Linked DNA regions of Macaca mulatta. The protein of the gene in region 2 purifies or fractionates together with the protein of the main gene of each other region. This does not show direct contact. Links are inferred from orthologs where the notes say so. Each region holds a gene or a part of one and is shown on either strand. Other genes may lie near its edges.

What was found. The genes of interacting proteins can lie anywhere in the genome.
Region 1: the proteins of EXOC7 (region 2) and EXOC6B purify together in Homo sapiens (affinity purification with mass spectrometry; 3 studies listed by BioGRID and IntAct, with this or other methods). This does not show direct contact. The link is inferred for Macaca mulatta from reciprocal best matches to the Homo sapiens genes EXOC7 and EXOC6B.
Region 3: the proteins of EXOC7 (region 2) and EXOC6 purify together in Homo sapiens (affinity purification with mass spectrometry; 4 studies listed by BioGRID and IntAct, counting the BioPlex papers as one, with this or other methods). This does not show direct contact. The link is inferred for Macaca mulatta from reciprocal best matches to the Homo sapiens genes EXOC7 and EXOC6.

The regions. Positions count from the first base shown.
Region 1 is NC_133418.1:52,251,598-52,255,114, reverse strand, and holds part of EXOC6B (exocyst complex component 6B), read right to left. Parts: intron 2,586-3,517; coding exon 2,480-2,585; intron 1,555-2,479; coding exon 1,445-1,554; intron 1-1,444. UniProt on the Homo sapiens protein: Component of the exocyst complex involved in the docking of exocytic vesicles with fusion sites on the plasma membrane.
Region 2 is NC_133421.1:85,832,934-85,837,164, reverse strand, and holds the start of EXOC7 (exocyst complex component 7), read left to right. Parts: upstream 1-1,414; 5' UTR 1,415-1,497; coding exon 1,498-1,557; intron 1,558-1,754; coding exon 1,755-1,820; intron 1,821-3,301; coding exon 3,302-3,486; intron 3,487-3,786; coding exon 3,787-3,892; intron 3,893-4,231. UniProt on the Homo sapiens protein: Component of the exocyst complex involved in the docking of exocytic vesicles with fusion sites on the plasma membrane.
Region 3 is NC_133414.1:104,906,144-104,909,660, forward strand, and holds part of EXOC6 (exocyst complex component 6), read left to right. Parts: intron 1-489; coding exon 490-624; intron 625-3,517. UniProt on the Homo sapiens protein: Component of the exocyst complex involved in the docking of exocytic vesicles with fusion sites on the plasma membrane.

The DNA.
Region 1 (3,517 bases), on a different chromosome or scaffold from region 2:
GAAATGCCATGTGTTTGCTATTTTTAAAAAATCTTTCTTTCAAAAAGAAAGTTTTGTGTATTCAAAATTCATGCAATTACAAATTTTGTCAATGTGCATAATGCTTTTTGGCCTCTTCTGTCTAGTGTAAAAGAGAAAATTAAGAGAATAATTATTCTTAAAGCTGCATTAAAATCTGAATGCAGCGGTTTCTCTTGTTTTGAGAGCCTGCATGTAAAAGAAATAATTGTTTTATACAAATTTTCTCATGTTTCATGTTAGCCTCCACTACAAAACAGATATGACTGACAAAGCAATCTGTCACTCCAGGTTATAAGCTAAACATATTCCACGATATAAGATAAATGCCAACTGAAGAGTAAAAGGCATCTTTTTCTAAAATCCCCGAGTTAAATATTTTATTTAAATTTTAAATGTGAAAAATATTAAAGGAAGTTTTCAGGCAAAAACTTAACATATTCAGGCAAGAAAAAGGCATCTGACATTATCCCATTACTAATATTATTCCTTTACCATATTACCTTTCTTCCAAAAGAAGATAGAAAAAGTAATTTTGCAATCAACTTGTAATGATTTATCTACAATAATATACCTAACATAACCTACAGACAATTATCTAATATAAGGTCATTTATATTAATGAAGTGGGGACTAGGCAGATGGGGGATGGAAACCCAGGGTAAAAAACACAAACATCCTCATTTGTGTTTGGCTTGGCTTCTATGTTGCTCCAGCACTTATTAATTAATTGTTCAGCTTCTTAATTAGACTAGGTACTCCTTGAAGACAGGGACCACATTTTCATCATCTTAATTATTTCTATACTGAGGAGCAGCTGCCAAATAACACATTAGCCAAAATGTATGGTGAAAAAACCAATACATGAATAAAGAAACAAAGGAGCCTATACTCTAGGATATACAGAAAACATACATATACGAGTAGAGCAATAATGTTTCCAAAGGATTTTATCTGATACTCCCCTTTTGGCCTTAACATTTCATTAAGTAAAATGTTAAAATTAGTATTTTTTGCTTATTTTTTTTTCTTTAGAGATGGGGGTCCTGCTATGTGGCCCAGGCTGGTCTTGAACTCCTGGATTCAAGCGATCCTCCTGCCTCAGCCTCCCAAAGTGCTGGGATTACAAAAATGAGCCACTGCATCCAGTCTACCATTTTCTGGTAAATTATCTTTAATAGAAAGTGTTGAAATGCAAATCTATAAAGAGCAAGATAGATAATATAAATTTTCAAAATTATTCAAAAGTTACCAATCTTCCCTTTCATCATGACTATATAAATATAGCAGTGCTATGCATTGAAAAGCTAATTATTAAGGTTTCCAAAATCAGAGCTGATGGGACTATCAAAAGTTTTTTAGAATATGTAAATATATGAAGTCACAATCTTAACATTGATTACATTTCTACTATTTTATATTATACCTTAGATGAAGATCTTCTGAAAACTTCAGACAAGCGTAGATAAATTCTTTAATTTGGTTGTAAACTTTTGGCACAAATTCAGAGAAAGGAAACTTTTTTGGAAATGGTTGCTGTCAATGGAAGAAGTAATGAAATCAAGTCACAAACCAAGGAACATTGAAGATATTTATAAATTATTTAGGTTGCAAAGAGAACATTCTTCTACATTATGAATTGTCTCCTTAACAACCTCAAATATAAGAAAATATCTCCCAAAGTTTTCTGATATTAAAAAGACATAAATTTTAATAAAACAATAATTCAAATGTCCTTCATCATGGAAAGAGATAAACAAATTGTGTTACCTACTCAGAAATAAAAAGGAATGAACAATGATACATGCAACAATTTGGATGAATCTCAAAAGCATTATGTCATATCAAAGAAGTTAGTCTCAAGAAGTTATATACTATACAATTCCATTTACATGGCATTCTGAAAAAGGCAAAAGTAGATGCACAGAGCCCAGCTTTCTGGTGTCCTGGGGCTGGGTTAAGGGAGGGAATTACAAAGGGGCATCATTAAATAAATTTTTTTTTTTGTATAATAGGCCTATTTGGTATCAACATTGTGGTAATGGATACATAACTCAATACATTGTCAAAATCAGCAGAATTGTATATCACAAAGGGTAAATTTTATGTTGCTGGGGAAAATGTCTTTAAATTATAATAAAAACAAGTATTTCAAAGTGCAAACTGAATTAGAACATCCACAGTAATCCTCCAAACACTTCAGAGGTAATAGGACCCAAAGCCATCTGCTGATTCCCAAATCAGGAAATTCTGGTCTTCCCCAAAAAGAGTCCTTCATTGTCAGAAAGGTGATTAAAGTGAAAAAAAAAAGAAAAGAAAAAGAAAAAGAAAAAAGAATCCTTTGAAATTGTTTTAGAGTTCTAACCCATTGAGTTGAAGGCACAGCTTTCAATGAAACTGATCCAATGAAAGCTTTTAAGAGGATGCCAAAACAACCAGAGAAGTTTAAAGTATTCCTTACCTTTTCCAGTTCTATATCTTGAAATGGGAATTGTCCTACCACCTTTTTGTACATCTCTTCACTTGTTACTGGTATAGGACTATAGTTGTCAGAATCAAGTATGTTTCTACAAATGGAAGGACAGACAAAGGAAATGGAAGGATAGACAAGGCAGGGTGGGGGAGGGGAGGGAAAGGGAGGGAAGGTGGGTTAATCACAAATACTTTTCTGATGAACTCCAACCTTAATATATATAACACAACCCAAAATGAACGTTTCCCAGTCCCTATTATATCCCTTCCACAATATAGCTATTTGGTTTTGGATTTAAAGAAGACAAAAATAAAACTATCCTCTGAAACAAATGGACCACAATTATAAATATATGTCTTAGGATTAGAGATTTACAAATAGGACAGAACGTATCAATGTAAGTAAGAAGTAAACAACAAAAGAATGTGTGCTCTAGAAAAGGCAAAGAGATTTTTCTGTTTGGTTTAATATGATATATAAATGTACATTATTATTATTATTATTATTATTATTATTATTAGAGACAGGGTCTCGCTCTGTCACCCAGGCTGGATTTCAGTGGCATGATCACAGCTCACTGTAACCTCAAACTCTGGGGCTCAAGCAGTCCTCCCACCATAGCCTCCCAAGTAGCTGAAACTACAGTTGCTCACCAACCCCCGGGGTAATTTTTTAAGTTTTTGTAGAGATGGACTCTTGCTATGTTGTCCAGGATGGTTGCAAACTCCTGGCTTCAAGGCATCTTCCCACCTTGGCTCCCAAAGTGCTGGGATTACAAGCATGACCCACTGCATCTGGCCCATTGGTAAGGTTTTTAAAATCATGTTCTATTCTAACTTTCAAAATTGCAAATAGAGTAACTTCCATAATAAATTCAAACTATTTCATTTACTTTACCTACTGTTCTATGTCAAGAATGACTTTTTTAAAATCTATAGGTTCTCTCTCCGTAAATAAACTGGGCATTTTCTAATAGTAGGGACCATACTACCAAAATCAAAACAGAAGACTCACTGAAGGCATCAG
Region 2 (4,231 bases):
AGGGTTGTCCACCTGAACCCAAAACATCCTCTCTGCAGCGGCTCACTAGCCCCCCTATTCTATTCTGTGACACCTAACAGTTTAAACTTTTCCCCACTTAGCCCTTAGGACGACACAAGGACCACGTCAGCGAAATCATCCTGGGTATTTCCTGACACAGGAATCTGCCCTTTACCTCCCCCACCTACAAAAGGACGGAAATTGTCCTCCTGCCCGAGGGAAGGCTGCCCATCCCTCTCCAGGCTCTGTACACCCATTTCCTCCTCCTCCTCTTTGGGTGGCTATGAGTAGAGGGAGCGCATGGGAACCCTAGAACTTGGTGCCCCCCAGGCTGGGAGTAGCGGCTCACGCCTGTAATCCCAGGACTTTGGGAAGCCGAGGTGGGTGGATCACTTGAGGTCATGAGTTCGAGACTAGACTGGGCAACATGGCAAAACCCTGTCTCTACCAACAATACAAAAAAATTAGCCGGGCGTGTTGGCAGCCGCCTGTAATCCCAGCTACTCAGGAGGCTGAGGCACGAGAATCACTTGAACCCGGGAGGCAGAGGTTTCAATGAGCGGAGATCGTGCCACTGAATTGCAGCCTGGGCGACAGAGTGATACTCCCTCTCACAACAAAAAAAGAAAAGCTTGGTGTCCGTCCCCCCCCCCCAACCTTCTCATCCACCAGCACATGCCTCCTTGTCTATCTTCCCGGTGTCTGGACACTGAGGCCACAGAAGGACTGAACCAAGTTGGTCGGCCATGTCCTGTCTCAAGGCCGGGGGCCAGAGGCAGGGTGGGCAGGGACTGGTTAGAGGAAGGAGTAATTCTAGGTTTTTCAGGAGCTGGGTCTACAACCACAACATCCAACCCTGCAGGGAAGTTGATCCAGGGGCGCCCACCACGCCATCCCCTGGAGCTGCAGCTGGAAGCTGGGACTGGGCCTGGAGCTCCGGAGCAGCCCCGCCAGCCCACAGGATACGGTTTTGCGTAATGCAGGGTTGAAGGGGAAAACGACTACACAAGCCCCTGGTTCATTACATGGACACACGTTAGGCATCTACTGTGTCACCTGCGCTGTGCCGGGCGCTGTGGGGAACACAATCGGCCTTGGTGCCTGCCCACAGAATGCGACCTGGGGAAAGGAATTCGTCGCCTTCCCCAGCAGTGTTTATGAAAAGGCTCGGTCTTTCAACGAAAACAGCAAGTGAGCTGTAAGCGTCCTACCAGCCGCGGGACATAAGGCCGATCAAAAACCTCTCCTGAGGAAAGGAACCCGCGTCGAGATCCCTTGTAGGATCCGAGTACACGTCACTCCACAGCCACACTCAAGATGGCCGTCGGTCCGTTCCTGGGCTCCGCGCAGGCGCACTTCCGCCTTCCACGCCCAACCTGGCTCCGCCCAGGTGTCCCGGGGCGGGACCAAGAGCGGAAGTGGGTGTGACGGGGACTGGGGCCCGGTGCGCCAGCGAAGGAGAGATAGTGGGGAGTGGGAGCCGTGGGGTTCGGAGCGATGATTCCCCCACAGGAGGCATCCGCCCGAAGGCGGGAGATCGAGGACAAGCTGAAGCAGGTGGGCGTGGGCCTGGGGAGGAGGTGAGGGAAAGAGGCCAACAGCGGGGCCTGAGTGTCTACTCGGAGAGGAGGCAGGGGTGGGAGGGAGCGCACCGAGCGAGGAGATGGGGTTGGGGGCTAGGCCGTGGGGTCGGGACACAGTGGTCTCCTTTAGCTTCTGGTTTCTGGTGATGTCCTCCCCTTGCCTGCTCCCAGGAGGAGGAGACGCTGTCCTTCATCCGAGACAGCCTGGAGAAGAGCGACCAGCTCACTAAGAACATGGTGAGTCTCCTCGCAGCTGGGGGAGGGGGCAGGCCTCCGGACCCTGGGGGAAAGCCTTGCGACCTGGCGGTTCCAGTTCTTGCGGCCTGGGGTTCTGTCATGGGTAGCGACGCAGGCAGTGTGTGGGTTTATCTAGCAGCAGTTTGGCATCTCTCCTGCCTAGCCCCCTCCCCATATTCCGTCCCCTCACTGAGGAGGCTGCGCTTCCCCCTGGCCTGGACTTGCTGCTTTCTGTCTAAGCTCGCCATTCTTCCTTCTCTCCTTCTGCAAATACTCAGTGAGTCTGACCAGTTAGTTGGGCTAGGTACTGGGCATATGTCATCGTCAATGGATCCTCTGCCCAGGAGGTTGGCACTTTGAGATTCCTGAGAGCAGAGAAGACTCAGCCTTCACTCCAGAGGGCTTCAGGGAAAGAAAGAGCTCTGAAGTCAGGCAGATCTGGGATCTAGTCCTTGCCCTGCTGCTTAAGTGTGTGGCTCCTGATAGGTAACTCTGGTGTCAGCGAATTCATCTGCTAAAGCAGAGACTGTGCCAGCCTCCCAGTGTGTCTGTGAAGGTCATATGCGCTAATGCATGCGACTGCATCTTGCTCAGTGCCTGGTATACAATAGGTGCTCAATAAGTGAGGTTCCTTCTTTATTCCTAGGGGAGACTGGAAAAGCACAAAGTGAGTAAATACAAACTTGTATTTGTATTTAGTCACACAATAATAAAGTCCTAGTCCTTTTCTAAAAAATTTAATTTTAAAATTATTTCTTTTTAGAGACAGGGTCTGGCTCTGTTGTGCAGGCTAGAGTGCAGTGGCATGACCGTAGCTCACTGCAGTCTCTAACTCCTGGGCTCAGGCAGTCCTCCTGCCTCGGCATCCTAGTAGCTGGGACTGTAGGCACATACCACCACACCTTGCTAATTATGTGCGTGTGTGTGTCTGTGTGTGTAGACAGGGTCTCACTGTGTTGTCCAGGCTGGTCTTGGACTCCTAGTCTCAAGCAATCCTCCTGCCTCAGCCTCCCAAATTCTTAGGATTACAGGCATGAACCATCACGCCCAGCCTCTAGTCCTTATTCAATGAGTTTCATCCTTAAGAGAGTTTTGAAGATACAGAAATGCATTTGAGGCTTCTCTGTATGAAACTACTTCCAGTCCAGTTTAGGAATGCTTCAAAGAGAGCAGAAGTTGAGATTTGGCTTCAAAGGGTGGAAGGGAAGCCATCTTGGGCTGATTATTTTAGGAAGAATTAATTTGATGCTTGGTTTGCCTTCAAATAAAATTTCAACCAATTTGTCTTAAATCACCTACTATATGCTAGGCACATGATGGGTGCTGAGGATACAATGGGGAACAGATACACCCTCTTCCTTCCCTTGTGGAGTTTATTGTCTAGAAACCCAGAGAAAAGGCAGGAAATGCCCAAGGTGGGTGTGTAGAAGCAGTGCTGGGACCACCATGAGGCCTGAGATCAAGAGGCTTCCCTCCTGCAGGTGTCTATCTTATCATCCTTTGAGAGCCGCCTTATGAAGCTGGAGAACTCCATCATCCCCGTGCACAAGCAGACGGAGAATCTGCAGCGGCTGCAGGAGAATGTTGAGAAGACACTGTCCTGCCTGGACCATGTCATCAGCTACTACCATGTGGCCAGTGACACTGAGAAGATCATCAGAGAGGGGTGAGTTAGGCCCATAGGGTCAATTCCTAATCCCTCCTGGACCGGAGGGTTGGTCTGTAATCCCAATAATTTGGGATGCTGATGCGGGAGGATCACTTGAGACCAGGAGTTCAAGACCAGCCTGGACAACACAGTGAGATGCCTTTTAAGCCCTAAGCCTTAAAAGGCGGTGGGGGGGATAGCATATATTTGAACCTGGAGTCCCATGTATTAATTCTCTTCTTTCCCTTCCAAATACTGTGTCCTTAGTCCTTCTTCACCCCCCTTGCCCCAGCCTGACCTGGCTCTTTTGCTTCCCAGCCCCACAGGTAGGCTGGAAGAGTACCTGGGAAGCATGGCCAAGATTCAGAAGGCAGTGGAGTATTTCCAGGACAACAGCCCAGACAGCCCAGAACTCAACAAAGTGGTAAGGGATCTGCAGAATAATGTGAGGAGCTTGGGGATATCAGTCTCTGCCCTGGTCTCATGAGGGACATGGGGCCAGCTTGAGGATGTATACAGTAGAATACACAGAAGGATATAGCACAGTACATCCTCTAGGCATTAGTATCTCTGCCTCAAGAATTGCACATTTTTTATTATTAAAAATTCTTTATTATAAAACTTTTAAATGTATTATAAAAATTAAATTATAAATTACATATAAAATATATACTTAACATTTGATTTTTTTTTTTTTTTTCTCCTGAGACAGAGTCTTGCTCTGTCACCCAGGCTGGAGTGCAGTGCTCAGTTCACTGCAACC
Region 3 (3,517 bases), on a different chromosome or scaffold from region 2:
TCTGGACTTGAGCTCAGGAAGTTGAGGCTGCAGTAAGTGACACTCATACCACTGCAGTACACAGCCTGGGTGACAGCAAGACCCTGTCTCTGGAAGAAAAAAAAAAGTGAGGGAAAAGGGTTCATATGGGGAATAGTAGATAAAGATGTTAGAACATCTGTTTAGATTTCTGATTGCCAGACTACAGGAAAAGCCAAAATCCTAATTTTTTACTTGCTAAATGTTTAAGATTTGAAACATACTATGAAAAGTTATTTTAAAATAACTGGCAGTTAGATTCTTGATATGTGTGTGTGTGTATATATATATATATAAAAATTCATAAGCAGTATTTGCAGCAGGCTTTTAAAATCAGATAGTTGTATCCTATAATGCTGTAGTTATGTAGATATGGTACAGTTGCTGGAAGTAATAATCCTATTTTTAAAAATTAGGTGATTTTACATACATGTAACCTGTATTTTACTGGATATATCTTGTGTTTTCTAGCTGGTGCAAATCATCATAAACACAACACACCTGGAACAAGCTTGTAAATATCTTGAGGACTTTATAACTAACATTACAAATATTTCTCAAGAAACTGTTCATACTACAAGACTTTATGGACTTTCTACTTTTAAGGTATGTAAAAATTTGACCAAAAGTTTTCATTTCAGTCACTGTAAACAAACGTTAAGAAATTAAAGACTGTTCTTATTATATGCAAGATCTACTATATTCCTAAAAATTAAGAATAGAGGTAATCATTGTCAACAATGAGCAGATAAATGTAAGGTTTTTTTTGGCACCGTAAACATCTTATTAACATGGAGAAAAGTATACTTATTTTCTACAATGTATTACGCTTTGTTCATGTTTTGATGATTTATAGTAGTGCTGAATAGGTCTAACTGAATTAATATTTCACAGTTTAAAAATTAATTCTATATGAGTGTTTATGTTTGAAAATTTTAAATGTAAGACAAATTAAATAAGGATAGATTTGTTTTCCATCCTTGACTGGTTCTGATCTGAAGAAAAGCAAGTATTATTACATGTCATTGAAGTCCTGCCTGTTTTGTGGATGGGAAGATTTCTGTTTTAATAATATACAGGATATACTGAGGATTAATTAACGGTTGTTTTAGGTAGAATGTAAGATTAAATAATTTCATAAGCTATTTTATTATTTTATTGATTTGGAGTCATAGATGAGACACTAGCTTAGTCTAGTGTATATAAATCCCCTTGCATTGAATATTTTGTTAAACTAATGATAAACCATGTACTGATCACTTATCTGCAAAATGGGCTTGCTAATTCAACCTTATAGCTCTTTCTAAAAGTTTCCTGTTAAAAAGAATTCTCTTTAACTACTTTTGTTATATTATCAATCACCCCCAAGATTTTGTTGTAATAACTTGCATTTTAAAAAATGAATGTACTGGCTGGGCATGGTGGCTCACGCCTGTAATCCCAGCACTTTGGGAGGCCGAGGCTGGCGGATCACAAGGGCAGGAGATTGAGACCATCCTGGCTAACACGGTGAAAGCCCGTCTCTACTAAAAATACAAAAAATTAGCTGGGCGTGGTGGCAGGTGCCTGTAGTCCCAGCTACTCGGGAGGCTGAGGCAGGAGAATGGCATGAACCCGGGAGGTGGAACTTGCGTTGAGCGGACATCACGCCACTGCACTCCAGCCTGGACAACAAAGCAAGACTCCATCTCAAAAAAAAAAACAAAACAAAAAAATGAATGTTCTTGTGTTTAAAAATAACTAATTTAATGTTAACATTTAACCATACTTTGAAAGTGTGAAGTCCACAAACAACCCTGGAATGCTAGAATTATCTGCTTGGCCCCCAAATATTATGCTCCTCTGGTGCCTCTTGAGCTAAGTAGTCATTTCAATACATAAGACACAAATGCAGAATGATACCTGAATCAGCAGACTTAACAAAATTAGTTATTAAAACTTAGAAGCCTAAAAAAGCAGGCATTCATTTATTCAGATAATATAGTACAGTGATTAAATTCATATACTCTGAAGTTAGATTGCTCTGTGGTCTTGGGCAAGTTCTTTAATGTGATTCCAAGTTTCTTTATCTATAAAATTAGAGTAACAGTACAGTACTTACTTCATGTGATCATTATGAGGAGTAAAGAAGACACTTAGCACAGAACCATTCACTGTATATAAATCATGCTCTGAGCACTCTGTTTAGACTCTGAGAATACAAAAATGTATCCCTGCCCTCAAGAAGCTCAGAGGAGGAAAAAAATAAAAGACACTTAACAATGTGGTATGGTAAGTGTGATAATATAGGAGGAGACGCCACAAGTTTTTAGTCACTTACTTATCCAAGGACAAATTGATTCTTAGCTTTTATGTTAGATTTTACATAATGCCTCTACTTTCTCTTCATTGTTCTTTCTGTCCTTACATCCATGTGTTACTCATACTCTGTCAAGAAGGGATTTCTCAGGCTTAGAATTGTAGGCATATTTAACTGTTAACATTACATTTAATATGCTTACCCAGTACTCTCTGATTAAAACATGAATTACTTTAGCATCTTGTGTTTCTAGGGATCTTAGAGTAATTTTCTTATCGATTATAAGCCAAAGAACCAAAGATACTGGAACACAATGCTCTTAGATTAGGGGATCTTGGAACTGTATTTCTCAAAATCTGCCTGTTGGGAAAGAATGTTTAGAAATGTTAGCTCTGGTTCATCATTCCAGAGTTGAAACCACAACTGTCATTGCATACTCCTTGGTGGATTTCCTTGGAAATCAAGTTCTGCTCTGTAAATAGCGAAGCATCTTTGTTTTTTGTTGTTTATTTGTTCGTTTTGTTTTCACACAGAACTCAGTAAATGCTTTTCTGTTTTCTAATATGTGAGCAAGAGCTGTTTTCATCTTAATATTTGAAGGTCAAGTATTTTTCAGTTCTATCTTTTGGTCTGTTTCAAGAGGAATTTGTCTCAAAATGTGATAAGGGGAAGTACTTCAACAGGGAGGATTGTTAAATCAATATTAAAGTGAATTACTGAGGGACACTGGGGAATTTCCATTCACAGTGAATAGTCTGTTGCCTCTTTCACAGAAACGATTGAAGTACAGTCTTGACTGTAGACATTTGATTGGATTATTTAGCCTATTAGCCTGATTTTTTTTTCAGTTCAGTGACCCTAGAAAACATATTTCTATTTGATTGCTTAATGATTCTGGAAACAAGCACTTAATGATACCTATACCTCCATTTGCTTCCCTTCCAAAAACTACGTATGCACACACAAACTGCCTGATCTTGTGTCATATATATTTAGGTTATGAAATAGTGTATAGACAGTTTTGTTAACTTGTTTGCTAACTCTGTAAGTGACATAAAAGAAGTTCATTAAGTAGTTCCTACCCTCAAGCAGTACCTCAGCTTTTTGAAAGTAACTCAGACCCAAATAGAGAGCTACTTAAAGCTAATATAAGACTTCTCTTAACTGGAAAAATTTGCATCAATATAGATGAAAAAAACG